4 linked regions of the Schizosaccharomyces pombe genome follow. The gene in region 2 interacts genetically with the main gene of each other region. Each region holds a gene or a part of one and is shown on either strand. Other genes may lie near its edges.

Evidence for each region.
Region 1: mutations in vrp1 (region 2) and ppk38 together harm fitness more than expected from each alone (negative genetic interaction), as found in Schizosaccharomyces pombe (one large-scale study listed by BioGRID).
Region 3: mutations in vrp1 (region 2) and mug113 together harm fitness more than expected from each alone (negative genetic interaction), as found in Schizosaccharomyces pombe (one large-scale study listed by BioGRID).
Region 4: mutations in vrp1 (region 2) and ntp1 together harm fitness less than expected from each alone (positive genetic interaction), as found in Schizosaccharomyces pombe (one large-scale study listed by BioGRID).

The regions. Positions count from the first base shown.
Region 1 is NC_003421.2:2,388,886-2,396,646, reverse strand, and holds ppk38 (Ark1/Prk1 family protein kinase Ppk38), read right to left. Parts: upstream 4,429-7,761; 5' UTR 4,376-4,428; coding exon 4,252-4,375; intron 4,207-4,251; coding exon 4,076-4,206; intron 4,008-4,075; coding exon 3,560-4,007; intron 3,506-3,559; coding exon 2,256-3,505; downstream 1-2,255. Other genes in the region: protein Pal1, read left to right, coding at 1-22; arrestin family membrane adaptor Mug170, read right to left, coding at 551-599, 645-976, 1,035-1,284, 1,323-1,972; spx2 (SPX/EXS domain-containing protein), read left to right, coding at 5,576-5,589, 5,632-5,657, 5,714-5,843, 5,884-5,888, 5,941-6,290, 6,357-6,629, 6,695-7,761.
Region 2 is NC_003423.3:3,052,757-3,062,211, reverse strand, and holds vrp1 (verprolin), read right to left. Parts: upstream 6,948-9,455; 5' UTR 6,738-6,947; coding exon 5,939-6,737; intron 5,887-5,938; coding exon 5,756-5,886; 3' UTR 5,453-5,755; coding exon of another isoform or gene 4,152-5,452; intron 4,137-4,151; 3' UTR 3,995-4,136; coding exon of another isoform or gene 3,882-3,994; 3' UTR 3,821-3,881; coding exon of another isoform or gene 3,756-3,820; 3' UTR 3,409-3,755; downstream 1-3,408. Other genes in the region: rpl102 (60S ribosomal protein uL1), read right to left, coding at 731-993, 1,255-1,642; rbd1 (rhomboid protease), read right to left, coding at 2,184-3,080; transcription factor TFIIIB subunit Brf1, read left to right, coding at 3,756-3,820, 3,882-3,994, 4,152-5,452; RNA polymerase II-associated Paf1 complex protein Leo1, read left to right, coding at 7,128-7,318, 7,509-8,607; SPOM_SPBC13E7.07 (uncharacterized protein), read right to left, coding at 8,880-9,455.
Region 3 is NC_003424.3:2,825,083-2,831,910, reverse strand, and holds mug113 (protein mug113), read left to right. Parts: upstream 1-4,981; 5' UTR 4,982-5,092; coding exon 5,093-6,073; 3' UTR 6,074-6,328; downstream 6,329-6,828. Other genes in the region: rRNA processing protein Faf1, read left to right, coding at 1-101; spd2 (ribonucleotide reductase (RNR) inhibitor family), read right to left, coding at 702-919, 1,105-1,112, 1,312-1,394; palmitoyltransferase complex subunit Erf4, read left to right, coding at 2,727-3,245; rit1 (initiator methionine tRNA 2'-O-ribosyl phosphate transferase), read left to right, coding at 3,224-3,282, 3,562-4,864; glutathione synthetase large and small subunit Gsa1, read right to left, coding at 6,448-6,828. UniProt on the Schizosaccharomyces pombe protein: Has a role in meiosis.
Region 4 is NC_003423.3:203,513-212,489, reverse strand, and holds ntp1 (alpha,alpha-trehalase Ntp1), read right to left. Parts: upstream 5,910-8,977; 5' UTR 5,413-5,909; coding exon 3,205-5,412; 3' UTR 2,849-3,204; downstream 1-2,848. Other genes in the region: mef2 (mitochondrial translation elongation factor G), read right to left, coding at 1-115; protein mug168, read right to left, coding at 632-979; protein Atg38, read right to left, coding at 1,318-2,568, 2,665-2,688; protein wwm2, read right to left, coding at 7,020-7,841.

The sequences.
Region 1 (7,761 bases), on a different chromosome or scaffold from region 2:
ATTATTCCACAAAAAGTCGTAGGCTTTTCAGGCTTGAAACTTTATTTACTATAATAGCATCTTTGAGTATCATCTTTCTCTATTCCCCTTTTTATTTGTTTACCAATTTCTCAACATCTAATACGTCTGTACCCCTGCTTTTAAATATTGAATCAGCTTAGTTCAATTCTTCGTCCAGTTTGTTGGAAGTTTCTGCTTTAATCTTCCGCATACTTATTATTACCATTCTTTGTTTTTGTCCTAATATTTCGCATCTTGTCCTTTTCTCTTTTGCTTCTTCTCGACATTCACTAGTTCGTCTGAAGTCTACATTTTTCATGCCTACTTGTTCTGCATAACTTTAACAAATCCAGATGCTTTTCTTTTACATTTTCCTTCTTTCGAAATTTTTTCACCTGGTGATATTTTGATTGCTCTCTACTTTAAGTAATTTAATCATGATCTCTATTTTTTCTACAATGCAGTCTTCGTTCATTTACAATCTAGTTTCACTAAGTGAATTGGCAGTAGATATATAGAAGCGTACTCTGCATGTTATAGGTAGCTGATGTTAGTTCCAGGAATGTAAAATCGTTATAGGAATTTGTATTGATAAAATTCTATCTTGTTAGCGTGTGAACTTAAACAATGATTGGATTACATACCTTGGTTTAAAAAATGCTGAGAAACAAACTTCAAGGGTATAATCAATTTTCAGCTGATCTTTTAAATTAACAGAACGGCAAAATTCAGGTATTTTGATTTGTGCGTGGATTGTGTTTTTTAGAGTCGGTGCCAAATTGGAATAAACAGATTTATTAGCAATTTTCCAAGTTGATTTTGCCCTTGTTTTCGTCTTAGTTTTTTGATAACGCTTCAAGTATCCGCAACTCGCGAATGTTTCTTCGGCCTGGTTCATACAATAACCACCGTAATGATTTTGAGTATTAGGGTGAAAGATATGAGTTTCCAGCAATCGTGCTTTTATATTATGAATCTTTTGAGAGTTAGCGATTAACTGTTATCTTTAGTTTAATTAATTTACTAGACTTTACCCTTCTGTGATGATTATGAGTGTAGCAAATGGTAAAATCGATGATTTGACCACTAAAAAACAAGGATCTGTCCGTATGAACCTCCAAGGTAGTTTTTGCTTCTTCTAATGAAAGATAGGGTAGGCTTTTAATGCATGAGATCGGGTTATATAGCTCCGCTATATTATTATGCATTGAAGTGATTACCCGTTTAGGAATTGTACAACGAGTACAGCGAATATTTTGATCCAGAGATGTTAAAGTCAGCGTACTAAGATGTCAGTTACTTTTTTCGGTTTAATCTTTTACCTTGAAATATAGTATAACAGTTCTAATTTCGATGAATGATAAGTACCTGGACCTATATCCAAAGGAACGATGAAGGAGAAAGGAAACCCAACTTTACAAGAACATTTAAGGAAAAGGCCCTTGTTGCCTATGCTGGCAGAAGCTGCCTTTGAGAGAATCAGTGCAGATGTCTTAAGGTTGCAAAACGAGTACTTTTCAGAGATAGAATAGAAAGGTTCTGAATGGCCTTTAAAATTCAAAATACCATAGAAATCGAGAAACATTTCCTTTATCCAAACACCGGTTTCCACGTTTTTTGCCCCTTCGTAGGATAACCAAATGTTGCCATGTAACAAGGATCCAGCTATTAAGGAAGTATCAGGAATCGTTATTGCTACTTTTATACCATCACAATTTAAAACTTGGTTTTCAAAGATTTTTTTTACTTGTAAATTAGATTTTCGAACTGGTGCATCAGCTTCAGGATAAAAAGACGATTTCCTATTCAGAATATTCGGTCGTAACACATCAGTTTTGATGGTTAATATTTCTGACTCTTCACTTAATATATAGGGATCATCAAAAGGATTTTCTATACTTGACAATGTTTTAGATGTCAATGGATCCGACAAACTGCAAGTTTCACTGTTACTAAAAAGTTCTTCTGTCATTAGCACGATATTAGGTTGTTATCAAAATGAATGTATATTTTTATTTATTGGAAATAGTTGTTGGAGAAATCTTAAACTGATATTTGCCAATGAGGTTGTTTACTCGTCAACATCATACTCGATGGTAAACATTCCAAAACAAAACGGTAACTTAGTTGGTAAAAAAACAAGCGCAAAAAGAAATATACAAAGAAATTGTAATAAAATTTTGTAAAATATAGATACTTAATGTCCACATTATTTGACTTATCCGTAAGGTCATTTGAAGATCATGATAAAAATATTACTTTTTCGTTTGCTGAACGTCGGTGTAACGGCCATAGCCTTCAACCTTCGGTTTTTCGTAATCAGTCTTGGTCATAAGCATATTCATTCTTTCTTTTATACTCATAGGTTTTTCGGGAATTACATCGCCCTGCTCAGCGTTTGGATTCGTATGCTCTTTTTCGGGTTTAGAGACACGTCGTGCATTCACAGCAATAGACATACTGGCACGTCTTCCCACCACACCTCGTTCTGTGGCCATATTGGTTGGAGGTACACTTTTGCTTTCTACCTCGCCTAGCCCAACTGGAGCATTGGAACTTTGAAGACTAGAGGGTGTAGGCGCAGATATATTGTTTTGTGGGTTTTCCACAGATTTTAAGTTTACAGGTTTTGGGACAGGAGCGGGAGCAGCAGCTACCTTGTTTAAACTTGATGTATGGTTGTACCTATCAACCAAACGGTTAACACTAGTCCTTGGCTTTCCCGAAGCATTACTAGCTGAAAGAGGTTCACTTTCTATAATATTTGATTCTTGACTATCAAAAGATTTAACATCACCAGTAAAGACAGCTTCGTTTGTAGGAACAGTTTCTTTAGCCGTAGATGAAAACATATCGTCAGCCAGAGCTAATGTGCTTAAACGAGGAGTCGTAGGAGATATTTTAGGTTTTGGCTGGACGGGTGGAGGTGGTCCATAAGTATGACTAGGTGGTGCACCTTGGGTAACTCGGAAGTTGCTAGGTAATTTTTGAGTAGAAGGTACATTTGAAGTATGTTGACCGTACGAAAACCTTGAGACAGGAGAAGAAGTGTTTCCATTATTATTATGATCTCCGTTAGAAAGATAAGGCATCGAGTTTACATTGGGTAACATCGGAGAAGCCATTGGCTTCATAGCAGAAGCAGGCTGAGGGAACACGGATGATTTACTCTGGTGAATTCCACTGTTTTCTAACTTGGAAGCATGTTGCAGATATTCGGAACCAGAAGGATTGCAGCTGGATACATTTTTACCGTTGTATATGTCGTAGATATGTATAGGAACATTACGCATCTTACAAATCTCACAAAAGGTTTGGTAGATATTAGGACGTTGCCAAGGATATTGCTGCAATAAGGTTGAAATTAGTCGCTTTAACCGATCTGAATAAGGTGGAAAGGTTGGAAAAGCGTAACTAACATTCATAATAGCAGCAAGCCCTTGATGTTCAAACGGAGTTGTGTAATAGCATAGTTTATAGAACAAAACCCCTAGCGCCCAGATATCTAAAAGCTAGTGTTAACGAAATATATTCTAATAACGTTACAAAGAAACCATACCACTTTTCTCGTCTATCCCAAATCCTTTATGGACATTAATCATTTCAGGGCATCTATATTGCCAAGTAGTAAATTTTTCGATATCATATTCTAGCTGTTTGGCCTCAGCGGCCGTTTTAGCACCCGGTATTGGGTGACATGCACTACCAAAATCACACAGCTTGTACGAATTTGGGGCAGCTAGTAACACGTTTTCAATCTTGAGATCTCTATGAATTAACGGAGGCTTCAAGTAATGCATTACTGCAACCGCTTCAGTAACATCAGAAGCTATTTTCAAAATTTCTTGTTCTGATAAACGAACTTGAAGTCTAGTGTTCAGAAAGTCAATCAAGCCTCCACAAGGGCAATACTCCAATAGTACAAGGACCTCGAATTGATTTTTTGATGTCCTAAAAAATTCCGAGCCATAATATGAGACACACCGTTTTTGGTTGCTAACAAGTTTCTAAAGACAAGTCGTTAGTTTATAGTAAAAAATTGGAGAGCAACAAAATACAGGATAGAAGGACATACCATAGTCCGTACTTCTTCGTGCACAGCTCGAAGGGCCATAGCATCCGTTGCAAAGATACGTTTCAAAACTGCCTCAAACGGTGGCTTTCCTGGGAAGACCAATTGTACCAAATATACATGAGAGAAGCCGCCTAAAGATACGCTGTTAACATTTGGAAGCTGATGATTTTACATACCTTCAGCAAGGTATCGTTTTACTGTAACCGAAAACTTTTCCACCGTACAACTAAAACCAACAGGCAGAAGACCTGAAGGTAAAGAAGATACTGGAAGCAATGAAGTGTTGTTTGTTTCATTCATTGCAAAAGAAAGTCTGCTGCAACCAGATTTACTCAATGTAAATTTGGTGGTTTAGGAGCGGAACGTGGGTTAGGATATATAATATATAAGTGAAACAGGTGATATTCAATTATTGGCCTTTACTGAATTATTCCTTTGTATAAATTGATACATTCGATAGCCTTCATATGATAGAAAAAGAAATGCATCCAAGCGAGTTCGATTGCATTATTGACAGATGAAGCTGAGTTCAAAAAATAAATACTATGGAAGACAAGACTAGACAAGCATTATTTAAGTTAAAAATTATAGTTATGTTTTCATTTAAGTTTCTTAGTTCTCTCTTCTAATAGTGAATACATGATGGAGTAATTTGTTGCTTCAGGGACTGCAGAAAGACTTATAAAAGGCTGCATTACGGACCACTATGATAGCTAAAGGAAAATTTAAATAGACGAACTCCGTCAAATGTTAACTTAAAAATCTAGTAGTTCATTACATTAGCAAAATTCCTGTCCTTCAAATGCATTGACGACTAACTCCAATAAACACAGCTATCATCCATTGTGAGGATTGGAACAGAAGATACTACCATTAGATTATCTACTTTTAAACAATTAATCTTATGAATTGAAGTAAAGTAAGACAGACCTCCAACTCGCTATCGCTTATATCATAATTAGCATAATTAGATCGCATCGATCAGTTAATCGTGATTTTTCTAAAGTTTGAGGAAAAATAAACAAAAAAAAGTGAAATAATTACAATACATATGTTAAAGCGCATTTTCCCCAATAATGGCCCTACTTAACTTTTTTTGTGGCATCCATTAACAATTGCCTCTTAATATTAACCACGAGATCACAAGAATTAAACCGAGAATTCACGATACTTAAACATTGTTAAATGAAAATATAAATCCCTTGGAACCACTAAATTTACCTTTTTTGCAGATACCACTTGGTGTACTTATCTTAATAAGGGCAACTAGAACCAACATTCTATCTAAAGCAAAGTAACCAGAAAACATTCCTAAATTTTATACATGCTTTAAATTTCTTAATTTTGATATATATTTCGATATCAAGAATTTTGAATGCTTTAAAGTCGTTTGAAGGATATTGCCTTTTAATTTTTGCAAAAAAGAGTTTCCTAAGTCAATATATATATATATACATATATTCTTTCTTTTATGTAATTAATTTTAAAAATTATTTGAACATGAAATTCGGAAAGTAAGGATTTTTTGAAAGTTCTGAAGCTTACTAACTGTACAGGGTTATCGAAGGACAATCTGTTGCAGGTATGCTAGTTTGTAGTTGAAAAATAATTGACGTTCGGATATGCTAATTCGAGTAGAATGGGCTTCTGCTTATTTTGACTACAAAAAGGGGAAAAAAATAATCGCAGGCATTGCAAAGAATCCTTCTGAGGGTCTGTATGGTACTTCAGGGATTTTGGGAGAAACACCTGAAGAAGCCATTGTAAAGTAAGTTTTATTTAATTTGCACTATTGACTAATAAAACAGACGAGGTACGTTTTTTGACATCTCTAAAAAATGCATTTCTAACTGCTTTTGACCTAGGGCAAATTCATCGGTTTCATCCCCTTTTTCAAGAGTTTCTTGACCAACAAGCAAACAAGGTGGAAGAATTTTTTGAAAATTTGGTGTCTGATGCGCGAGAAAGAATGGATCTTATTAGCGATCAGGTCGATATATATGAAAAGCTTCGTGCATTCAAAAAGGGGACCCTTGAATCGGGATCTGTTGTATTAATACAGAAACAGCACTCTAAACTCAGACAAAGGCTTGATTCAATCCTCAATTTTTCTCGACTTCAACCTGCTTATCATATCCCAGCTAGGAAGAGTGTCCCAACTGATGCTTATACTCCGATGGTCAGTTATCGCAAACTGAAATCTAAATTGAAAACGGTATGCCTCAGTGCTTTTTTCCTTCATAGTATAGATGTTTGTAAATTTGCTAATTGTTTCAACTAGACATTGCTGGACTTTTATGATTATCTCAAATTGGTTTCTCAGTACCAGCATCTTAATCAACAAGCCTTTCGAAAGATTGTCAAAAAGTATGATAAAACATTACATACAGATCTTCAGGGCTTTTGGGTTGATTATATGAGCAGATATACGTTCACAGATTTCAGCATCACTACAAATTGGCAATTGCATGTTGAAGACATATATGCTCGTCTTTTTACCAATCATAACAAGAAGCTTGCTTTAGAGCATCTTAAGTCATTTCGTCAAAAAGAGGTAAGTATAATTCAGTTGCATCTGGACTTTACGTTATACTCTAATTACTAACTTGGGTTATTTAGCACTTTTCTGCAAACTCGATGCGATTTGGACTCTTGTTTGGTGCAGGTTTACCGTTGGCTATAGAGGCTGCTTGCTATTATAATGCTACTGAGCAATCCTCCTACCTTCTTCAGATATGGGGAGGTTTTTTTTTAGTAATTTTTGCGTTCGTACTGTTTGATTTAGACTGTTACGTGTGGGAGAAGACACGGGTTAACTACATGCTTATTTTCGAATTTAATCAAAGAAAATCTTTAAACTGGCGTCAGCATTTGGAGATCGTAGGAGCAGTCTTCTTTATTTTTTCGCTGTTCTTTTTCCTGTGTATGAGAAATTTCTTTCCTGGCTTCACAATATATTTTCCGGCCCTGTTTTTGGGAGTAGTGGGCACGTTTTTAATAGCCCCCGTCATTGTTCCCTATTGGAGAATGCGAAGATACTTGATAATTCAGCTTATCCGTGTGTTTTTATCTGGGCTTTCTACTGTCCATTTTCAGGATTTCTTTTTTGCTGATCAAATGGTTAGTCTAACTTATGCATGCGGTAATATATCTTTGTTCTTTTGCCTTTATAAGCGACTTTGGCGACAACCACAGCTTTGTAACTCATCACATTCTCCCTTGCTAGGTTTCTTTACCACATTGCCTGGCATCTTACGTGTTTTTCAATGTTTCCGAAGATATTCAGATTCGTTGAAAAGCTTTCCACATCTTGTGAATGCTCTAAAATATATTTTTAATATCCTCGCCCAAATGTTTTTAAGTCTGTGGAGGATTCATCCCGGCTTGAAATATCGGGTTTTGTATACTATTTTTGCTGGCGTAAATTCACTTTTTTCTTATACGTGGGATATTTTGATGGATTGGAACCTTTTGGTTCGAAAGGATGGTCGTTGGCAATTCCGTGAGCATCGAATTCTAAAACAGTTGTGGCCGTATATTATAGCTATGATCTTAAATTTTATCGTTAGAAGCTCTTTTATATTCTATTGCATATTTCCCAACCACATTCAGCACTCTTCAGGGATTAGTTTTTTTGTGACCCTTGCTGAGATCATGCGGCGTTGTATGTGGAACATCCTTCGTGT
Region 2 (9,455 bases):
ATGATGAAAGAAAAAGAGGGTATAATAAGTCTCTTAAAAGCTTCGTTCAAAAAAGAAATAGGTAATTTATCTCCAAAATACGTTTAATCTTGCCAAATTCCTTAGGGAATATATAAACTTTTTCAGGCAGAGGATTGTTGGTTGTCTGTCGGAGGTGTTCGCACTGGGCAAACTGACAGTGGTAACAAATTTTGCGGTTGTTCATAGGTTACAAATGCGTTGTAAACAATAAAAATCATCAATCTACAATAATATTTTTAAAATTACAAGGCGGAAAATAAATCGTTTTATCTTTTGTAACTGATCACGGAAACTTCGAAGATAACTGAAAAGAGCTAACGTCGTTTGAGCAAATCCGAATATGCATTGAACAGACACCGATAAGCTAGCTAGCAGACTTTTAATTTTACAAGATTTGATTGGAACTTGTTACAATCGTGATAGCGTTACATTACAAGAAATGAGAGTCAGAGTAACCTCAATATATCTTCTAAATCATATTAAACACATTTATTGTTAGTAATAATATTTCAGGAATTTGAAAAGGAAAATATTAACGTTGAAACTTTTAATACATTGTATAAACTTGATAAAACTACAATTTACCGCTCGTCAATCAATCTGGAAAATTGTTGCTTAAATTTTTATAAATAGTACATTATTATTAATGTTATAACCAAACCTTATAACCTAGTACTGAAACACTAGAATTATTCACCGTATATTCTATTTAATAGAGTCGGTATGGCTTTCCCATAGTCGACTTGATAACTAAAGAACCAATGTTTTGCCAGCCCTTTTTCAACAAAGAAACTAAAAAGTTAATGGCCAAAGACAAATTGGCAGCTAATTGTTCTTCAGCCATATCGACATGACCGACAGCAACGCCTAGGCACAGCACTTTTTTGAGTTGGAACTTGATAGTTGACTTAACTTCAATAATTTTACCATATAAATCGTCACTGTGAGAAACAGGAGAAGGGAATTTACCGGCTATAGCCATCGAGTTAGTAACTCTTCCTTATCAATCAAAAAACTGAAAGGTGAGGCCGTGCGGTTCATTCGCTCGTATAAACTGTATATGACTACTTTACAAGCATAATAAAAGAACTCCAGCAAACTACATGCTAGAGCAGTTTTATTAATTCATCTACAAATCGACAAGAGCGCAATGCAAAACAGTGGTCAAGATAGTCCATGCATATCTGATCAATCTGTCACACATACCGCAACAACCGTTAGAAATAAACTTACCTTTAGATAAACCAGGACCCAACAAACGAGGGATTTGCTTAATAAGAACTTCGGAAGCAATGAAGGCGTCATACTTCTTTGCCAACTTTTTCACAAGCTTCTTATTTTTATTTAACTTTTTCAAGTCATCAACAGACATAGCATCAACACCTCCGTGCTTAGCACGATCAAGATCATGGGCATCACCAAGAATGCATATACTCATGTTAGGACGGGGGACATTGGGCAACTTGATAGTACCAGAGAAACGCTTGTCACGCTGAGGGTCATAGTTCTTCAAACCGATCTGAAGCTCTACTGTCTCAGTAAAATTACGTTTTTTCTCCTCTGAACCCTTGAGAATGGTTTCAACACTAGAACGAATATTGGCAGGAGAAACTTTTGACATCTTCAATATTCAGAATGCAATATAACAAAATTTAAAACGTTTTCAGTTTAACATTAACTTCTACTATCTTTGTGACTGTTTCTATATAGCTCAGCTTCAGTACACAATGGTATTACAACGAGATCAAGTACGGTTCAGTAAAAATACACTAATGGCAAATCGGTGCTTCAGTAACGATAATTATCGACAATGCGAGTGTGCCTTGAGTATGAGTTACAGAGTACTTTTAAAAAGTATTTTGGAAGGTAGTTTTTTGATGATGCGTGTAATGTCACAGAAATTAGCTGTGAAACTGTTGAAATCAAAGCATACATAAGTATAATCAAAATTTTAGCTATACGTCTTTGGGATTTATATCAAAAAAGAATTCTGCCCTATTGATGGCTGCTTAAAACAATCAATTCAAGCAGATGCCTGTTATTCCTCACCTGAAGGGTTTGGTTCATACTACAGATTTAGAGAAAACATTTAATAAAATAATGAAATCCAAAATGCAAATTCATGTTGAAAATTGTAGTGTTTGAATTTTTTAAAACATAGCTCAAAAGGAAACGGATCTTGAAAAAAATGGTTTACTCAACGACGGTGGACGGGGACGAGTCGATCGGTTGTACGTAGAATAGCCATATTTAGCATACAACCAACCGAATATTCCACCTCCAAGATGTGCAGCGTGGTCAATGAGTGTAAAGTTTGCAAAGGAGGAAAACCCTCGAGAAATTAATCCCCAAGCATCAAAGGCCATGAGGCCTAATAGCGCAACTCCAATTTTAATAGGTATAAAGGGAAGGAAAATAATGGAGACAGAAGCATTTGGGAAGAAATAAGATGTAGCAGCAGCAATAGCATAGATTGCACCACTAGCACCTAATGATCCTGGAGTAACTTTAGTCCCAAAGCGCAAACGATGGTGCAAGAGAGAAGCAACGTTAGAAAAAAGAATCGAAGAAATATAAAATGCAACAAACTGATTATTTCCAAAAACGTCAACAATTGCAGGCGCAAAGGAGTAAAAGGCAACCATGTTGAATAGCAAATGCCATCCAGATTGATGGCTGAATGCGGATACGATCATCGATGGCATATTAATAAATATAGGGTTCATGACAGCATATTTTTGTAAAAATCTATTTAAATGACTAAACCTCGGAGCTCGCCATAACGCAAACACACCGACGTTGATTCCAATTATCGACAATACCAAACTTCGACTAGATGTTTGGGGAATTGGAAATCCGTATGAGCTTTTGGGGTAGTTTTTTCTTCTTTTATCGAGATAATTGGCCGTATAAAAGGTGGCAGAACCAACACCAACAGCAAATGTAATCGGTTTCCATAATGGTGTTGGTTTAATATTTTCAATTCTGATCCATGGTCTGTAATAAAACCTTTTTTGTCCAAATTTCCAGAGTAAACTTTGAAAATTCAAACGATTCATCTGCGTATTAAATATATGTGAGAAAAGGTGAGTAAGGACTATGAGGTTGTATGCATAGAAACGCTAGTGTTGCCTAAGATAGAGAAATAAGAATCCGCTTACGCTTCTCACAGTACCTTAAGATCTTTACCAATATTTATTTAACTTCAAGCAATTTAAGTTATTTCTTTATATATTCTGTCTTACTTTTTATTCTCCTAATTACGTTACTTGCATAATCTTATATAAATATATATGCCAAACAATGTTTTTAACAAGTTAATTAACATAAAAAGATTTAATGAACCATATAGTCACGATTCATTAATCATTTGCTAAACTTGCAATGCTCGAGATAAACTAGAGAATTTACTAGTAAAAATTGTTATAATATATATTAAACTAAAAAGTCCAAATACCATATACAGAAGCAAAGTTCAATTTACTATTTTTAATTTTATTTTAACGCTCTTCATTTCCAAACCATTAAAAAAGAACAAAAAAACAAAATAAAATAACAAACAATTAAACCCGATTAAATTCTCTGTAGACCTTTAAAATATATGCTAGTATGCATATTTGCAGTGATATTTCTTTCCCCCCCCCCCACTTAAGTACTCCATGTGGGTTAAACTTAATCTTTGATAAATACCATTTCCCAAACAGCTAACGCCCAAGTGTTTTCAGTTATTCGCCATGGGATGTCCAAATTGCGGTTCAACTACTTTTGAATCTGATACCGCTTCTGGAAATACATATTGGTAAGTTGTTTTTTTTATTATATAATTTTAACGTGGCAATTGACTGCTAACCATTGAATAGTACACAATGCGGTGTTGTCGTCGAGCAAGATGCAATTGTTTCGGAAGTGACATTCGGAGAGGCTTCAACTGGTGCAGCTGTTGTTCAGGGTTCTCTTGTGAGTAATGATCAAAGTAAGTTAGAAGGCAATCATCCAGCAATGCGGTGTTTTACAGTTCTGATGCAGTCACCTTTTTTTGTTCAGTCTGTGTTAAATTTTGGTTTGATCTTTTACTAATAGACACCTCTTCGTCCATATTTTTCATCGACTTATATCTAACACAGCTTTAGCTCATGCTCGGACTTTTGGTGGCCCTTACAGAAATCAAGGATCCGTAGAATCCAGAGAACTTACCATTGCAAACGGACGTCGCCGAATTTCGGCATTGGCAATTGCTTTAAAACTTAACGAACGCCATATCGAAGCAGCAGTTCGCTACTTTACACTGGCAATTAACAACAACTTTATAAAAGGAAGGAGATCGCAATACGTTGTTGCATCCTGTTTGTATATTGTTTGCCGGATATCTAAGACGTCTCATATGTTAATCGATTTTTCTGATATTTTGCAAATTAACGTTTTTAAGCTTGGGTCTACTTTTCTCAAGTTGTGCCGCGTTTTAAGGCCTAATTTACCTCTTTTAGATCCGTCTTTATATATCAGTAGATTTGCTTCTTTACTCGAATTTGGACCGGAAACACATCGTGTCGCAAACGACGCTATCAGATTGGTAGCGCGAATGAATAGAGACTGGATGCAAATTGGTCGTCGGCCAGCTGGAATTTGTGGTGCATGCTTACTCATTGCAGCAAGAATGAATAATTTTCGACGAAGCGTACGAGAAGTGGTTCATGTCGTGAAAGTTGCGGATATCACTATTCAAAAACGCCTTGATGAGTTTAAATTAACTGAGAGCGGTGATCTTTCAATCGCCGACTTTCGAAACATTTGGCTGGAAGGACAGAGCGATCCTCCTAGCTTTACTAAAAATCAAAAGTTTCAACAATACGGTGCTCAAAAAGTTTCAAACATTGATCACACACAAGAATACATGTCCCCTATTAAAAGGACCCCGGATTTTGATGGCAACGAAGTTAAGTCTGAAGAGCTTTCGCAAACAGTAAAAGTTGAATCTCAAGAAACTCCTGTGCATTTGAAGGCCGATGAAAGAGAAATTAGGAAAGAGGTTACTGAAACCCTTAAGGGCGATGAACTTAGAAAGATTTCTCTACAAGTTAACGTTAAATTTTCGGAGGAAGAAGTTACCTTAGAAGACGTTGATGATGATGAAATTGAAGATATTTTGCTTGACAAGGATGAAATATTGACTAAAACTCAAGTTTGGATGGAGTTGAATAAAGATTATTTAGCTGAGGAAGAGGCGAAAAATTTAAAACTCCAAGAAGATTTAAAAAAAGGAATTGTCCGACAACCTCGTAAAAGAAGACGATATCGTCCTAGAGATAGCACTAGTGATGGAATAGCCGATACTGCTGCTGAAAGTGCAAAAGAAATGATGCAACAAAGAGCTTTTTCAAAAAAAATCAACTATGAAGCTTTGGATATGTTATTTGACGAAGAGCAGTCGTAACTTTTTACTAAATTTGGGCAATTGGGAGTTTTTTGGGGCTATTTAAGAACATTCGTTTTTTTGTTGTACGATAATCCTTTTTTATACATTAATTTATTAATTTTAGAGTTTATTTAACGATTTATTTATAAGGATTAATGAATCTTTATAAATAATTTTAATATTCATAAAAAAGGCCGCATGAATTTTTAGTTTTTTTCTATCACTGAGTAATTATTAGTATCCATCTAACGAAAGAAAATTCTGTGTTTAACAACTAAACACTGGTAGTAGATTAATCGTACACAGCTTTAAAAAGATTTGTTAAAATGAAGAGAGATTCAAAGGGACCGTAGTGCCACTACCACCCCGATAAACTTTAGGGACTCCAAGAAAGGGATGAGGAATTGGTAAGTAACTATCATCCTTAAAGTGGAATCTTCCATGATCATCAACTAGAGTTTTGTGTTAATAAAAAAATAATGCTTTTAATGATCGCAAACTTACCACGATTAGGTCGCTGCTGCAAGACGTAAGAAGATGGAGGAACTGGAGGAACAGAAGCTGAAGGAATGGATGGACCTCTATTAGGAAATTTAGGAGATTCTGATGTAACGTTAGGTGCATGTCCTGCTGGTGGAGCAAAAGAAGAAGGGCGTGATGATGTATTAGCAACAGGAGCTTGAGATAGAGGAGGTGGAGGAACTTTAGGTGGCATCGGAGGTACCGCTGAGGGCAATGAAGGAGCTGAAGGAGGAGATTTCACCGGTGCAGCAGGTTGTGCAGGTGGAGGTAGAGACGATGGAATAGGAGGTGCCTTTGAAGGAATAGGTGGAGCAGATGCAGGAGATGGTGGAGGAATTGAAGGTCGAGGGGGCGCACTTGTTGGCGGACGCAACTCAGATTGTGGAGTAGGAGGAGCAGGAGCGGAAGGTGGTGCGGCTGAAGCACTTGACTTTCCAATATGACGAAGCTTAGGCATGCCGCCAGCAAATAAACCTCCTAATGCAGGCATGGAAGGTCTCTCTTCTGCTTGCTGAGTATTATTTGAAGAAGTCGGTAAAGAGGGTGCGCCTGTGGGTACAGGAGGAGCAGCAAAGCTTTTTGGAGTGTTAGATTTACGTTCGCCTACGACACCTCCTCCGACAACGGGAGCCGATCGGTCGTTCGTTGTAGCTTTTTTTAGTTTCTTTCCTTTCTGGATAGAATTGAGCAGAGCTGATCGATCTCCGGTCATTAGAGGGGGGGCCGGAGCAGCAGCAGCAGGCGCTGGTGCTGGAGGAGGAGGCGGTGGTGCAGGTGCCATTTTATAAGAAGGAAGAATTAAAAATCAAAAATAAATCTTAACAAGCTTGAGGTCTGTAATCAAAATAGTAGATAATTCGCCTGTACACCTAACAATACAATAAAAGTAAAAGTTAAATTATCAGATTTTAAATGATTTTACAAAAAATATTCGCTATATACTTTGACAATAATAAATATAACTCAAAATATAAAGTGGAAACACGGGTATGGGTTTTAACTATGAGCTACCCTAAGCTTTCTACCACCACCATGCACTACAAGTAACAGGATTGTACCTTCTAGTGATTATTCAATTTAATGCATCTTAGTACAACACCATACGTATTCTGACCGGAACCAATCTGGAAAGTTTAGACTGGTGAATTTTTGAGGAATTTAAATAGATTTAATGTCGGATTCTAAAGAAGACATCCGCAACGGTCAAGAGGAAGATGATTTGTTTAGTGAGAATGAAGACAATCATACTTCGCAGCAAGATGAACTTATAAATGGCCATATAGAAAACGATAGTGAAACAGCCGTTAGCGATGACGGCTTGTTTTCGAATACAGAAGAGGCTACTGAAGCCCCTGAAGCAGAGTAAGTTGCAGTCTTATAGATGAAGCGAATTGATTCTAGCCGATGGTAGTTCTAAATGTGTATTTATTATACAGCTGCCACAGTGGTGAAAGTAATAAATCGCTTCATGAGGCTTTTTAGTAAAAAATCAAAAATTAGCGTCTTTTACTATAGCAAGCTATTTAAATCTATGCATCCTAACAAATGTTAGTGTTCCTGTAAAGAAAGTCCTTGAAGTCGCTGTTCCCAATTTCAAATCACCAGCTTCTGCTAGTAATGACGTGTTTCATGCTCATATTCCAAATTTCCTTTCTGTGGAACAGACTCCGTACGATCCAGAGCAGTACGCCGCGGAAGCCGAAGCAGATGCAGCTTTATTAGAACACGACGCGCATTGGGGTCAAAGAATAAAACATAAAGTTGATAATACTGTCCGCTGGCGATTGGGGCCGTCTGGAAGCTATCAATCGAATGCGCAAATTGTACAATGGTCTGATGGTTCATATTCACTTCGCATTGGTAACGACATATATGATACCCAAAATAAATTAATATCTCAACCAACTTTTGTTACTGCCTCACATGAAGCACAACATTTACTGAGAGTTCAAACATCCTTCAAAAGCAGTTTTACATTCCTCCCTTCAGCCATTAACACTGCTACAAGATCAAAATTGCCATCTATGCGTCTCACCACAGTCCAGGTTCCTAGTCGAAGCGTACAAGAAATTATTATTGAAAAGGATCCAGAACTACTAAAGCGTCAGGCTGAAAAATATGAGGAGGAACGAAGTCGAGCTCGGCGACGTTTAGAGAAAAGAAAGCAATTGAACAATTATCAGAATGGAACAGGAGAAGAAGAAGAGGATTACTCTTCCTTCTACGGTCCCCGTTCTACTTATAGCGAACAAAATGAAATCATTGACAGTGACCGTATGGATCGTTTAAAACGAATTAAACAAGAAGGAGCTGGTCAATATCGTGGTTATAATAAGGATCTGGAAGAAAATGAAGAAGATGACCTTGGTGACTTTATAGCGGAAGAGGAAGAGGAAGAGGAACAAGAAGAGGAACAAGAAGAAGATGAAGAGGATGAAGAAGAAGTTGGAGCTGGCTCCGATATAAAAGGATTTGATGCGGATAAAGAAGCAAGTGTAGCACGAGCTACTATTAATAAATATGAAGACGATGAGGTAATTCCTAGCGCAGTGGAAACTGACAGATCCGAGACCGTTACAGAGACTTCTGTCGGTGATGGTTCTGTACAAAGAAGAGTGAAGCGTCGGATTGTTGAGAGCGATAGCGAATAAATCCAAACAGCTTGTAATTCAATTTTTGTAAATAGCCAATTTGTTTGTTTGCGAAGTATGGTCTCTGTGTTATTTCGTTGATTTAAAAGATGTTTATTAATTGTACATTATTCTTATATCTTGTCTAATTTTTAACGCAATGGGATTCACATGTACAATAGCGAGAATTGTAGTGAGCAACTATATAAAATAAAACTACTTTTTTTAAAGCAAATATGGCGGATTAGGTGTTGAGATGTATTTCTGTGATCATTAAAGCGTGATATGAGTTCCTACCACAAACTATCATATCGGTTACCTTTGGAAGAGCCTGCTTGACCGTTGTTAATATAAGAGTAAGCAGAACGGCTAGAATTGTTTAGCCCTCCACGAGGCCTATTTGCTTCATGAAGCTCTTTTCTATGTGCAGCAAGCCTTCTTCGTTGTTCTTCATCTGCAAGTTCTTGCATTTCTTTAGCCCGTAGCTTTTTTTGTTGATTTTGACGTTGCCTTTTGGTAAGAGGTTCAGTGGATTTCTTTTTGCCGTACGACCTGGAGCTGGTAACAGTTTGAAAGCCATCATCGATATCGTTTGAAGAAAACGAATTATGTAAAGAGTCATCTGCTGTAATAGCGGCGAGAGATATTGATGACTTCATTTTCAAAGAGGAAGGGGTAGTTGAATGTTTCTGTTCTAATTTTTGAGTATCTTCAACGTCCGTAGTATCCTCCTTTTCAGCAGGATTTTTTCCGACCAATTTCTCCTTCTTAGGAGACTTTACTTTCTTGACTTTATGATTTTCTTGGAAAATTTTAGGTGTGCCCTTCTTTGGCACTACCACGGGTTCCTTCTTTGAAGAGTCTTTCGA
Region 3 (6,828 bases), on a different chromosome or scaffold from region 2:
GAAAACAGTTCAAAAAGGGATTTCGTCCTGTTACTTTCTCAGCGCCAGGTAAGCTCGTGGGCGGTACTTTACTATTGCCAAAAAGCATGATACCTAAATAAAAATTTAAAAAAGAGGAAAATTTGATTTTCGTGACAAAAAAATAATGACTTTTTCTTCTTAACTATTTATACCACCTTTAAAAATACTGAAGCTATGGAAGTTGGATTTTTAGTAACTTTCGACACATTCAAATGGTGTTTTATTTTCCTTTTTTTTACCTGGAACATTTAAGCTGATTATATTTGTGAATGTAAGACGCATACGGACAAGGAATTTTGGTTTTGCATAGAGGGTACTTAGTTTTTAATATTTGAACACATTTAACGTAATTTGAAAATAAAAATGGTACTATTATGAAAATGTTCAAAGGAACAAACTATAGCAGATGAGCGAGCGACGAGAAAAAAGAAACACAAAACAAATAATTTAAAAAGTATAGTTTACTAGTACTGAGTCCGCATATTCATGAGTAAACAATACTACAATAAGCAAGCAAAAACTAGAAAGCAAAGTCGAAGAAATAAATTAAGTAAATCTTTATCTTCAATTCAATTTCATAGTTTTGAGTAATAGTTCATCTCAATAACAAAGATTTATGCTATTGAAAATATACATATTACCCAATAGTATCGAAAGCTTTATCTTGCTCATTTATTCATTTAATGAGACTTGAGAAAATCAGGCTTGGCAAAAGAATCGGCGATTTCTTGAGTGGAGGCGGTATCCCAGAAAATAGAATCAGCAGCCAATTCTTGCTTCAAATCATCGAGACGAAGATTAGGATCATGTTTTTGCTGAGGAAGCTCATTTCTATCAGTTTGATCCTTGTGGTAAGAAGGGAAAAGTTGTTGGTCAAATTTGTAACCAGTTTGAACAGCTGCTAAAGTTAGTAAAAACTGCTTTCATCTAAACAGGAAAAAAGGTAGAAAGGAAGTAGTTTCTATAAAAACAGTTTTCCATTAAAAGTATAAACATGAAGAAAGAGTGCTTTATAGAAATTTTTGATTAAGGTATTAATAAACAAATCCACTCATTTTTTTTTTTTAAATTTGATTCACGTACCTTTGCGACTAAATGATTGTTAGTTATTATACAAAAAGACTAAAAAAGAGTTAAATCATCAAATGCCGTGCTGCAGTACAATTGTATTATAAGTTTTCAAAAAAGTACTTAGACCTTTAAGCCCTGTCTCTTACAAAAAAAGATAGCAGAACAATCAGCATTTTGGATAATTCAACGTTTAAAAGTAAAAAATTGGATTAAACTTACACTCTGGCTCCAACATCAAAAAGAGTAGTTTGAACTAGCTGGGGAAGTTCGTCATGATCGGGAAGCTTGAACGTTTCAGACATCCTGGATAAGTAAAACAATTAAAAAGTATCAAACAGGGGGAAATTGACAAAGTATAGTTAAATATAGGTAAAGACGGAGTGGTGAATCACAAATGCTAGCAATTACCAATCGCAGAGCAATCTTTTAATTTTCAATGATTAGGTGGTAGATGGTAAGTAGTTTGGGGTTGCGATTGTAGATCATACGAATTTTCTGTGACTCGAGACAGGTAACACTTTTTCTATTGTTTACCTATGGAAAAAAAAAACAAAACAGTGTAATGCGATACATATTTCCTTTAAACAGTTATGTTATGGGTATCATGAGAAACTAAATTTTCATCTTCGTAAAGGAGGGTTCTTTTTTAATCGTCTTTCTTGGAATTTCTTCAAATCATGAATTCAACTTGCATAAATGGATAAGAAAAGTTGGTTGTAAGAATCTATAGATATATATTTAGCATGTTTCTTTTATTTAAACGAATATTCCTTTTAGAAGCGAGTAAGCTTCAAGTCGTATAGAACGCAGACGATATTAAGCCTAATAGGATCTTTAACGCTTAACTTAATAGCAAGCACAATGAGTTTTAGATAGCTGAGTACTTTAAAGCAACCTAACTTCCCTTGCAGCTAAAAAAGTTTATTGAACTTGATTTAAGACGCTCTTCTTGGACTGAGCAAGGACTTCAAAAAAGCCCGCATTCGTTGTCAAAGTTTTATCTCATCTAACGACTAAAGTAATATGAGTCAATGCTCATATAATATACAGTCGAATATTTTTTATATTTTATTACATTTATTTTCCCAAGTAGTTTTTCCAGTTCATTCTAAGTAACTTTTATCGTAGATGAAATATATCCTGTAGAGAGCTTTTATCCTCTTCCTGAACGAGCAATACGTTTTATTAATTTTCAATTCCTCAACAACTAAAACCACATCCTTTTATCAATCTTAATTTTCACTATAAATCCGTTCAAATTACCTAGTGACAAACTGTGTGGTTTTTGTTTCAAATCTGAAACTCACTCAATTAATCATAATGATTTTTTAAAATGAGTTATCATTGCCCATTTTACAGCTATTCACTCAATTAATCACTCAATTCTGACATTTAATACGTTTGTTTGTTTAGTTCCGGTTATATGATCAATCGATGAACTCATGAGTGTTTTATAATTTTTTAGTCATTTTTAACGTTGTTTAACTTATAACTTTCCTGTTTATTTATTTTTTTTCTTGTGCTCTACCGAATCCCAGTTTCATTATACATATTCTCTAATCCGTCTTCTAATATTGTACACTTGAACCTAGAGCTAGGGAATCCACCAAGCTTCATTTCAGTAGGTTTTTTCGATGCTTGTTCGCATTGAAAGGGATTATTCGGTTTCAGGAGATAAATATCCTCAATTTCCAACCGATTATCCTGTACCTCTTCGAGCTTATGTGAATCTTGAGGATTGGGATGTATTCATTCACACATTAAACGAGAAACTGAGAGAAGCCTTCTGTCCATGGTCAATTGGAAATCTATTAGATGGAATTCTATCTGTTTTAACGATTTATATCTCGGAGTTCGTATTTGGCAGTATTCATCGTAAAAGAATTGGGGCGATCGATTTGTACATCCTGGACTTTGCAACCCAACATAATTTATACGTTGCCAGCCTTCGCAATATGGGGTTTTTGAGTCTCGTTTTTCATACAAAAGAAACAAATTCGAAAAGTAGTACTCTCCATTCCAATCCGTACTGCCCGGAGCACCATTCTATACGAACACTTCCCTCTGCCGTGACTGCCACCACTTCAAATATCTCAACTTCTAGTTCTCACAGAAGTGATCTGCCAAACGAATGGACGAATTCGACCCTTTAGACGCTGTGCAACAAATTCATGTTCAAGCAAGACACCCGTAAGTCTCAATTTGCTATACAAATAAGCTGGCAGAATCAAAAGACTTAGAAAATGATTGCTACCTTTATAAACGCACAAGCAATTAATGCAAATTGTAAGAAAAAACGATGGATAGCTGCTATTAAATTTTCATGAAAAATTTTTAGCCTAATCGCCATTTGTTGGATTTCGTACTGATATATATTTTTGCTGATTTTTACTTGTTTTTCCTTTTTGCCTTGCTTTTCTTTTATTTGTATGTCATCGAATGGAAAATTTGGCTAACACTAATTTCAAGAAAGAATCGGTTGCTGTCAATTGCACACGATGCCAAGTTTGTCGACTCAGTTATAGCTTCGTACCCCACATTTAAACCTGTTGTAAATGAACGATGCGGTACGTGGTATGTCAACCGACGACATGCTCCGATTTCTGTTTATTTCAAAAGTACTGATGGTCATACCGGGCAATGGTCTTTTAGCTGTCGTCGTCTCAATTTGCATTTGCTAAATGAGATAACCACTTGTGATGGATTGATTATAGTAGATTCTACTCGTCGTGGAAAGAGAATGCCCGATGCTCTATCAAAGACGATTCCGATATGGATTGCTACGCTCAATAAATGTGTTTTCGAACGGCTTCGTCCCCATTCCTTTCCTAATGCTCGTTTGGCCTTTTTACCCCCGTTTTTACCTGATACAGAAAAATCATCTATTTTACAGAGGCTAGATGGATTTGTAGATTCTTTAATGCAGTCCGGCATTGACTTAGATGCGTTGGCGGCTAAGCTAACTAAACCCATTCGTCCTTTATGGGTAACACCTGCTAGTCGTTTAACATCTGCACAATTTGAAGAATATTTTACAGTTGTTCTGGTTACTGCAAGTGCTCAAGTACAGAATGGGTACTCCCGAGAACATGGATTTCTTTACGTTCAAGGAGCAGCAGATGACGAAGAAGAATGGTCGCATGGGCTGACCCCTGAAGTCTTTTGGCAAAATACTGAATCTATCCTCACATGCCCAGAGGAGCAATTGGAGCAAAAAATTAGCCTCCTACTATCTTCAACTAGAAACTCACCTACCATGTCAAATTCTTCGTTAACCCATCTTTTACCAACTCCTATATTTGTTGGGGATGTTACGGGATTTTATCCCCCTCCAGAAAATACATCTTACTTTGTTTTGAATTTGTCGAATACCACCCTGAATGTGAAGAATGAACTTTGTTTTCCAATACCGTCAGGAAAAAAAGGTGCTCCGGTGTTTCGCAAGCATTTCCCTTCAATATTGCAAGAATTAAATTCACTTGATCCTCCATTTTATGAGAGAGATGCTATATTTATTGTCGATGAAGGAAATGCTAAAGAAGCCGCCTCTTGTCTTGCATTGATGATTCTTTGTTTATACTACGACCTCCATATGCATTTACTTGCCCATCCTATATCTCTATCTGCATCTCAGTCTCACCTTACCAAGCAAACGGTTCGCCAATTTCTGGTAAAAATTACAGAACTACACTCCAAAACAAATCCCTCACGAGCATTCCTTCTTGCCGTCAATTCCCTTTTACTTAGTGCCAATACTATTGCTACTTCTTAGTAGTGGCACTTGGAATGGCAAAAATGTTTACGGTAAATAAAATAACGTAACATGAATCGTTTCCTTAAACGAATCCCAATGTCAACATTAAGCTCAGTTTGCTTTTTCCGTTTCCCTGATTGTTAAAACTTTTGAAAAATATCTGAAAATACGAGTAATTGAGTTTGTTCATACATTTTAAGACTTTAGAGGCTTTGAAGGATGTTGATATTGTTTGATTAGGATTTCATGAAAATGCCGAATACTCTGCATTCAGTATCAATCTCTACAGATTTTCCTTCCCCAAATGTAGAATCGGAAGCTGCAGACGTGAATGAATATTCCTCTACTTCAAAATTTGAGACATTGGGTAATCAGAGCTCTACAAACCTCGGTTTTTCGAACTCCTTACAAGATAAGTGGGATTGCTGGAAACGGGATTTGTGGTCTATTTGGTGGTCCTTAAGTCGTAAGGCAACGAGATTTTATAGATGGTTGTCTCGATCGTTAAAATGGCGTCCAGTTACTTACGAAACAGTATATCCACAAACTTATGAAACTCAGATGTCAGAGCCTAGAGAAGTTACTACAATTGTAAAGGATTTAAATAATGGGGATTCTTTTGTCTTAAATGTTACTGAACCTGTTGACCCTGAATTTTTGCGTGCCAATATACCTCCTGTTCATCGTAAACATCTTCCACCCAGACTTTCATTAGTCGCTTCTCCGGGAACTATTCCTACTCGTGGAGTTGTTGTATTAGAAGATTGGATTAATCCGCTACTATCCGAAAGATGTAAACTTCTTTTACAAAGTGAGCTTTGTAACCAGGATTCTTATGATTGTCCGGGTTATATCTGCGTTTACAGATTTGAGCAGAAAAATAACCCTTCGGTCGTTTTAGGTGACTCTACCCTCATCCAAATTTCCAGAGTTTCTGACCTTCAGCGACACCTTCGTGAGTACCCTAAAAATTGTGCCTTTTCCAGGTCGGTGTTAGAAATTTTCCCGGATCCCGGCAAAACTTCTAAGCCATGCCAAGTGAGTTTCAAGGTTGAAAGGTTAGTACATAAGGAATTAAATGAGTATCTTTCTTGGATGCAACCTTTTACATGTGATTCTTGTGGATCACTTCATGAGAATTGGCTCCAAATTGACAGTAAACAGTGGGACCAAATTCGTGGTGTAATATTACGGTGGGTAGAGTATTCTCGGGTCATTTATGCTTGAATCGTTTTTTGTTTTTTTTCCTATCTTCTTACTTGTTTTGTTTTTATTTTGAACACAGGAGATTTTATTTTTCTCCCAAAATACTTTATAATTAATATCTTCTTTGAGGCACTTAAAGGATTTTTTAAGAGTTTTTACTGCCTTTTCTGGGTTCCTTTCTTTTTATTATCGCATAACTGGTAATGACTTTTTCGAAAAGTTTAATTAATGTATAATAGTAATATCATCGATTTTAAAAAAAAAATCCGCATCTTGTCTATCATGTCTATTGATATCTTGAAGTAGCAACGTGTTTCAGATCAAAAATTTTATCAACATCTTCACGTTTGTCTCACATTAAATACCTTTGACCTGGTGTAACTGATACACAAAATTTATTCAGAAAGTTCAATACTAGATAAAGAAGCATAGCCTGTTGCAACACCACCTTCATTAGTTTTTTTGGGTTTGGTACGACAAATGAAACCCGACTGTCCATTTTGAACGACTTCGTCAGTCTTGATGTTCCAAACGATCGTACCTAAAATACCAATTTCGTCGACGACATCAAACTTTTCAGGTCTTTCTCCCTTCAAAATATAGTTTTGTGATGGAACGGCATTTATATAGCGCATTAAAATGTAAGAGTCCCATTCTTCCTGAGGCATTTTGCTGAGTAAACCAGGAATGTCTTTTCCATACGTATTGTTTCCACCACCCTCTCGTTGAGGCTTTAAGACAAAGTCCTCGGGTTTTTCGAATGCGAGTTTAATACC
Region 4 (8,977 bases), 2.8 Mb from region 2:
CATCAATGTGAGCGATGATGCCCACATTTCTAATAGAATTTATTGATATATTTGATTGATATCGTCTCCATACTGGTAACCGAATTTTTAATGGCTTCCATACAATCCGAAGCATGAGGTTAAGGAGCAAGCTTCTTAGTCTAAAAGAATTCCGGAGCAAAAGCTTTAATACAGAGAGACTACACACTCAGGTATACAACCATATAGGATAATTAATAAAAAGTTAATTAATAATATATGCGATAATCAAAACTTTTAAAAACGGCAATTTAGCATGGTCATATCGACCGCACTTTTATCTCAATTAAAATAACCACGAATTTATTAAAAGTAATTAATATCTCTAAGCTTTATACTCTGCAAAATGGAAATATTTATTCCATACACCTCGAAACCTTAGTGGTATTCATTAATAAACTAAAACAAAGCATTGACGGTGTGTAACAGCATGCTCCGAACTAAAATAAAATTATGAAATTTAATCATTATAGTCAATACCCACGAAGATGAATCATAGAAACGATTTAGTCATAAAAACGATCAAAACAAAATATAACTTGAATAACCCGATTAATCAATAAATGTGTCAGAATTGGAAAGGAGGTGGGCTAAGGAAATCAAGCAAATAGACTTAGGACCTATATCTACTAGCTATTTTGTTAGAGAAATCCGCACTATTCATCGGAGTTAAACCAAGACCAGGTTCTTCAGCTTTGGTGTGAACTGGAGATACCGAAGTCGCTGATCCAAATTTCTTATCAACTTTAAATCTTGAATATGGCGTAACTGTTTCATACTCATAAACAGAATTTTTTGTTGATCTGCCAAATGGCGTTGGATTTTTGGAATCGAAATGCGAAATACCCAACGGTGAGTGTACCCCTTGACTCAAATCACCAATGTTGCTAACATCAAAAGGTAATACCGGGCTCGGTTTACTAACTTTTCGATCTTCAAAATCAGAGCCATCCATCCTCATCCTAGTTTTCGTAGTCGAATTCAGTTATAGAAGCACGTAAAAATTTATTTCAGAACTTCAGGTGGTAAAAAGAGAAAGTAAAATCCCAAATATAATGGTATGCGCAGAGAACATATCTAAGCCAAAATAAGTATTGATTCCATTAAGGATGGCTCGCCACAGACCATGTCATCGTAATTTTGCCTCCCCATGCATTTCTCTTCAAAAGGAAAACTAAGGCACAATTTAACGAAACATACAGAATTTTGCAGAGACAACATAATGTATTGCTTTGAAAACTGATTTTCGATCAGTTGCCGTTTCTTTAAAGAATTAATAAGTAAATCGAGTAATGACATTTAGTGAAGATCTTGATCGAGAGTACTGGTTTGAAATTGCTCCAGTTGCTTTTGTAAAGTTGCGATTTGTGTTTCAAGCTGTTTGATTTTCAATTGAGAATCGACCGTAATCTGTGCCGTAGATGATTCAAGTGAATCAGTTCCGGACTCCATAGGCTCCTCTTTTTTCTTTCCAGATATTGAACGAAAAAATGGAAACCGAAACAGACTTTTGCGTCTGGTATATTTCATGAGTTTGGTCGGAGCTTCAATTGTTTGGAGCGTTGGCGTTTCAGATCTATCAGGGAAGTTATTGTTTATTTCCTTAGTAAAATCATTATTTTCCCAAGAGCCGTTAACAAGACGGTTTGACTGAATATCCTCCCTAGAATCCGTAATCTCTCCAATACTACTTTCGCTACTTGATGCGTGACCAAATGCTCTTTTAAATGATTCTTCCCTTTTATGACTTCTTCCCATCTCCTCTTCAGATAATTCCTTAGCATCATTGTATGAAGGAATAAGAAACTTGGATACATTGTTATCATCTGTAGTTCCTTGAGTAATGTGTTGTAAATGTAAATCCTCGTTTTCATATGGAATCCTTGTATTATTTAAATATTCTTGTTGACTTATATCGAAATTCGATAGCGGTTGAATCTGCTCGTTCGTATTCTGATAGGCAGGATCTTCTTTGCTTGTTGCATTGGCATCTTCTTCAACGCTGTTACCAAGAGAAAAATCATCACCTTCTACGATCAAAAAACTCTCATCGGAGCTAAATATGCTTGGTGATGGCTGATCATCATCCATGGGAACGATGGAAAAAGCAACTGCAAGTCCATAGTTGGTTGACAGCTTTTTAACCTGCATTTCGAATTTAGAATACATTTGATATAAATCGTCCTCAGAATCTTCCATTAAAGCTTCACGAAAGCTTGGTTTTAGTCGAACAGTAGTATTATGATCACCTGGTAAAACCATTGAATTGGACGTAAATCGTGGAGTTAATGAAGAAGTATACATAGGTGATAATCTCGTAGACATTGACATTGATATTGGTGTTTGTTTGTTTGGCAATGATTCTCGTAACTCGCGTATACGAACCATCAACTCTTCGATTTGGTTATTTGCGCATCTTTTAATAAGAGGCTGAGCTGTGTTCTGACATATCTTTTCAAACTGACTTTTTGCTAATCCATAATACATAATTGCTTGTGAAATTTCTCCCAAAACTTCCTGATTTTCCCCATCTCGGGCGTATTCATGCGCCTAATTTTGTTAACATTCACATTCAAAAGCGAACGATAATTACGAACTTCAAACACTAAATTTACTCATATCCTTATCTCTTTAAGCATCTCTTACCTTTCTTAATGAATATCGAACCATAACACATTTTAATAATATACTGTTGTTGTGTAAGGAAGTGGCCAACTTATGTTGTCTACAAATGTGAACGACATAATACGGTACATTAACTCAAAATAAGTTTCTAGAAGACAATTCCTTCAAAAAAAAAACTAATAAAGTGATAGACACCAAATTAAACATTAGAGTTATATTCGGACTAAAACTGCAACAACAGTACTATCATGGAAATTATAAATTAGAATTGAATCGTAAGGTAAAAAATTCATTTACTACTTCTTTCTTTTAAGTAAAAAAGTAATAATATCGCTGGTGATAAGCTTTACTCATAAATTTAAATAGAATTAACTATTGTTTCGTAAGGGAATATTCGCCAAATAGAACCTTCATAGTAGAAGGATTTAATGGAAGGTATAACATGTAACATAACAATGGGTTTTAACCGGTCGATAACCAAAATAACATAATAAGAGAATAAAGCTAAAGGCAACTAAAAAAGTAGACAAAGTCGATTATTTTTTTCAAGCAAACGATAACTTAATTTTTATGAATGGAAAGGTTTTCGAAAGCAGGAAGAGATTCTTCCTTGATGCCGGCAAAGAAAACATCAGGAGTCGTACAAGCACCAAGAGCCCGACGCATATGCGAATTACAGAATGTAAGGCCGACTTCGTAACTGGCATTAACCCATCCAAAACCTTCGCGAGCAACGCCTTTGATATTGACACCCTGATTACCATACTCAGCTTCAACACGATGTGGATCAACTGGTCTGGTCAAATCATATTTTTCAACAACAATACCATTAAAATCAACAAACGATTTAGTAATAGTATATAGCCAACGATATACAAGTCTACGAGTCTCCTCTTCATATCCGTATCGAATCAATCCATACCAAGCTAAAATCTGCTGAGGGCTCCAGCCATTAGGATAATCCCATTGACGGCTGGGATTATCAAGACCCACTTTACCCAAGCTTCTCTTTGTACCAGCAACTATACCTCCAGCAACTTCAAACTTGGGAAGACTAACATCAACAAATTTTGCGGCTTGACGGGGAGTTGCCACACCGGCCCACAAGGCCCAGAAAGCAGTAGCACTTTCATAAGTACTCTTCGTTTCTAACTTCGTGTTGTAATCATACCACATCGAATCAGCTTCTGACCAAAGATACTTTTCCATTGCAGCACGACGAGCACGAGCACGACGATCCCAAATGGCAGAAGTTTCTATAGTTCCGTTTGGAAGTACAAACTTGTCATCGAAATATTCTAAAATCACATGTGAGATGTCGGTTTCATATTTGTATAGCAACGAGTTCAGATCCACGGTGGCCAAGTCAGCACAAACTTTTTCCAACCGATAAGTAGTATCATGCCCGCTTTCGCGAACTGCGCGGTCGTGCACGAAATACTCATCCAACGCGGGTTCATGAATTTGTTGGTAATTGTATGCATGAGTAAACTCCTCAAGAGTCATATGATACTTCTCCATGTAAGGACGAAGCAAATGCTCAAAATGAGAAGCTTCAGTTTCCGGAGGAATACCGAGTCCTCCAGGGCGATAGCGGGAAAGACCAGTTTTGGGATCCAGTCGTGGAGTGGCAGTCCAAACAGTGTGATATTCTTTTATAGTCGCAGAAAAGGCCCGATGCAAAAAGTCTAAAGATCCTTCTTCGTTTTTTATACGTTCATAAACTCGAAGGGCCATATCGGTCAAAAATGGAGGCTGGGAGCGAAGAAGATAATAAGTGCGGTTGGCATTCAAGATCTTACCGTAATAGGTAATTTCAAAAATAAAATTCTCCACCATACCTTTCGCCAAGTCAACCCGATCGTCAACAAGCAAACCCAGTGATTCAAAGTAAGAGTCCCAGCCGTACAGTTCATTAAACCGGCCACCAGGAACGACAAATGGCACACCTCGAAGATGTGTATTGCCTTCATCATCTTGGTATTTTTCCATTGCAAGTGCAAGTAACCCTGGCTTATCATTTACATCTCTCACCCATTCTGGAGTAATCTCTTCCGGCAGATATTCGACCTGTAAATTCAAGTAAGGCCTTTCCTTAGCAGCGCGAACATAGTATTCATACATCTCTTGTTCGGCTTTAGGAACATAAATTCGATTCACGTGTGATCCTGATCGGTCTTTGGTATCACGGCAAATAACATCCAAAACACTGGCATCGATTCTTCGAGTAAGGGCATCCCAAAAGGTACCTTTGATGAGTCTAGAAAGTCGGTTCACAGGGTTTTCATTAAGTCTTCGCTCATCAAGTAAAATATATCGACGTCCATAATCCTTTGCCAAGGTCAATTCCTGAAGTAAATTTGACAATTGATATGTGCCGCGAAGCTCATACAAGCGATATCCACCCGAGCTAGCGCTGCCAAGGGAAACAACTTTAGGTCCGGTATCCTCGATGGTGATTTGCATGTTCCGGTCGGTGTCTTCAGATTCCAAAAGTGCATTCAATGTCTTATCAACATCAACAAGAAATTTTCGTGGTTGTTTATGTTCATCAAGACTTCCACGTCGACGTAAATTCTTTAATTCTGGTATAGTTGGTGCGGCGGATGCCTCCATCGAAGTGGATAAGGTGCGAGGACGGCCAGCACTTACCCGAGTCGACAAGTCTGTATCCTTGGAGTAATAACTCTTAGCGGTTGCAAAGGGATTGTCATCATCATTTGAAATGGCTTCTGTATCCACGTATTTAGAGGAAAATTTCGAAGGCATATGAAACAAACTTATTCGTGTTAAATATTTTCACTATTAGATCAATGTATATATAAACTTCTTTAAAAATGTATTTTTTTTCTCTTTATTGTTCCTATTCACGAATGATAGCAAATGATGGAGAACAAGGTTATTCCGTTGATGGCTTCCGTTTCCTTCACTACAAGCTAACGATATATCAAAAATTCAAAAGCTCCTACGAGGAATACGCTCACTTTCCAAAGCAATTCACAAGATAAAGTGTTTTTTTTTTTAAAAAAACAAAACAAAACAAATTCCTGCTTTTTCGTTCTAAGCTATAAAATAGCAAGCAAGATTTCAGAAAATCGACACTAATTACGTATAAGGAAAATCCGTGTCTTTAACTGAATTTGAGTAACTCTACCAAATTCTTAGTACCCCAATAGGTATAAATCGTTAAATCCTAAAAAAATTTTAAAAGAACTGCTAGTTTCTTCTATGTATCAGTCTATAATCCTGTCGTTGATATTTGTGGTTTGGAGTTGCTAAGTTCTCATACATTCTAAACCAAATTTACGCTGATGTAGTTCGTTACTCAATGACGTAGTCTACCTGACACCTATAGAGCTTATGGAAGTTTAAGGATGCGGCAATAGGATAGCAGCAACGGTGAACACCATCGCTATAATCAAAACAATGAGCTGAAACATAGAAAGAAGATACGAGAAAATTGGCTAATTAAGATACAACAGTAAAAAAGGTATATACGGACGCCTCTGAAACAGTTATCACTGATTTTAGTGGTACTATTGAGAAGGTAATGAGTTTTGTAAAGAACCACAATATTCCGTATTTTTTAACATTGAGAATGCTCTATTGACTCGTTATATACCACGAGATGAAACCCTATGTATGTGTAGTTTGAATGCGGCACTGTATGTTGTTCTATCGGTTTTTTTTTTAAACTTGCACTCTTCTGGTTTGAAATGATTTGGCTGTTATAATTACAAGTTGCAATTCGGTTAATTAGCGGTACTTACCTCTTCTATGTTAAGATAAACATGTACTTTTAATGAAGAAAGTATACAAATCTGACGAAGTATTGGGATAAAAGACTCTGAACTAACCGATTTACGCAATATTAATAGAAGCTAATCTGACAGCTTTAAATTTCAAATTTCAGATTGTATACAGCCAAAGTATACACGTACGCATTTCGAAGTAGACTGGGTTTGACGTGTGCGAGATAATGAACATAATAGATATTTTTTAGAATCTTTTAATACTTGCGCATAAAATGTTACGTATGAACAAGCATGAATTGTTTCCACAGCTATAGATACAGCACTTATGTTTACCTATATCTAAACTGTTGCATTGAATCATTCCTACATAAACCTAAAAAACAACAACACAGGGATATCAAAATTGCTTGCTTGCGAGCTTTTCTATGTGCACTTCTAAAATTGCCCAGCTCTACTTAATACTTTCAGAAAGTCCTACCTTAATAAAATTCAATTTCACTTTAGCAAAATAACTGAGTATAAACATAAAAAATTTTTTAACGGTATCGACTTAATATCTATTGCGCAATATACTCACATAAAAAGCTCATAAACAAATATTTAGTTCCATGTTTCTCAGTCTCACCAACCAGGACCGCCATGACCTCCAGGACCACCCCCAAAGCCTCCGGGGCCTCCTCCAAAACCTCCAAGACCGCCTCCAAAGCCGCCAGGACCGCCTCCGAAGCCACCAGGACCGCCCTCAAAACCTCCAGGGCCGCCTCCAAAGCCACCGTGACCACCATGATGATGGCCTTCACCTCCAAAGCCTCCAAAGCCTCCAAATCCACCAGGACCAGGAGGAGGACCGCCAGAACCACCACCAAAACCTCCGAAACCACCACCGTTATGACCACGATGGTGAAAGAGATTGCCAAGTGCGTGTGAAGCCAGGCCACCTAAGGCCAATCCACCTAACCCTGCAGCGACAGGAGCAACGTAGCTTGGTCTACTGTAAGAGTTGCCAGTGGTGTAGCCATTAGAAGAGGTAAGCCCACTGAACAGCCCTTTATCACTACCATCTGCATTGGTAGTGGTAGTGGCAGCAGCATTAGGATAGTATGCAGCATTGGTATTGGCAGGGGCATTGGGGTTATATGCAGCGCTGGTAGTAGCGGCAGCATTGGTAGTCGTGGCAGTGTTAGCATTGGCATTTGCAGCAGTATTAGCATTGTATGCAGCATTCGTATTCGCAGCAGAAGTATTGTTATTGTTATTATACACAGCTGTATTAACGCTTGTGGCTCCTGGAGGAGGAGCAAGTTTCAGATTTTCGACTGGTGGTTCCCATTGGGGCTGTGGATTTTGAGCTGACTCGTTAACATAAAAGTATGTTCCATATTCAGCATCCCATTGAGCAACCCATCCACTGGGCAAACCTTCACGAGTTTGATAGACAGACATTTTTTATATGATTAATTCTGTAAAGACACAGAGTAAAAACCTATATAAACGATATAGAGGCTTAGAAAGATTCTAACCAAAGAAAAGAAAAATGTTATAGGCAGATATTCAAAAATCACTCTCTAAGATCTATATACTTAATTTTTCGAGTATTAAAGATAGAAAGTTTTGGTGGTAAGCTGTATCTGTTAGGGAAAAGGAGAAATCGCGCAGTGGTATAGAACGATTATAAAAGAAATGAAAATCTGATACGCTACAGATCATTACATAAGAGGCTGATGTAGTGGTAGTAGCATTATGCAAATTTCGTTATTTTACTATATCGTGATTGCCCCAAACCATAATTCGTCATTCCTAGTTTACGAATTTACGAGTTCCATTAAAGTGGTATTAACGTGTTTTTAAAAGTACTTCACTAATTATCGAAAGCTGTTCATGGAAAATAGACTGCCAATTTGTTTTATTCAAACTCAGAATATCAGGGTTTCACTAATGCTGCTTGACTTGAAACATAGCTAATTGAAAAAGGAAAATTGCTCTTATTACCCTTTTTAATCGCCGGCTTTGCTTAAAAACAAACGGTTTTGCATTGCTATGAAAACCCTCGACATTCATTTGATAATTGCCAGGTACAAATTTACGTATCCTTACTGAATAATCGTAATATGAACAAATAAATGTTGTACCGTAGATAATATTTCTTAATTTTGAAATATATTAACTTTTCTTATTTCATTATGTGTATCCAAGAGCCAAGTTATATTTCTCTTATTTTAAACAGCTTGATAAATACAGGTTTTAAACGATTCAAATGATATCTGTTTGTCTTTTAAAATAGTGGTATGACATCCCATAAGTGTAAAAAAAATTTTTTTTCTTTCTGCCTTAATTTTTTCGGAATTGTGCATTTAATCCAAAACCAAACAAATATCTGAGTTTGCCAATTATATAGTCAGTAATACACCACTATAAACTATTCAACTAAAATACCCAAAAAAAAAGGACAACTAGTAATGAAAAAACAATGATAATAATAAATGAAAGATATATAATTGACTATTTTAAATCATGCATAATAAACTAATTTAACGTCTGAAAAAACAACCATTGATTTTTTAAAAGTTTCAAAAATTGTG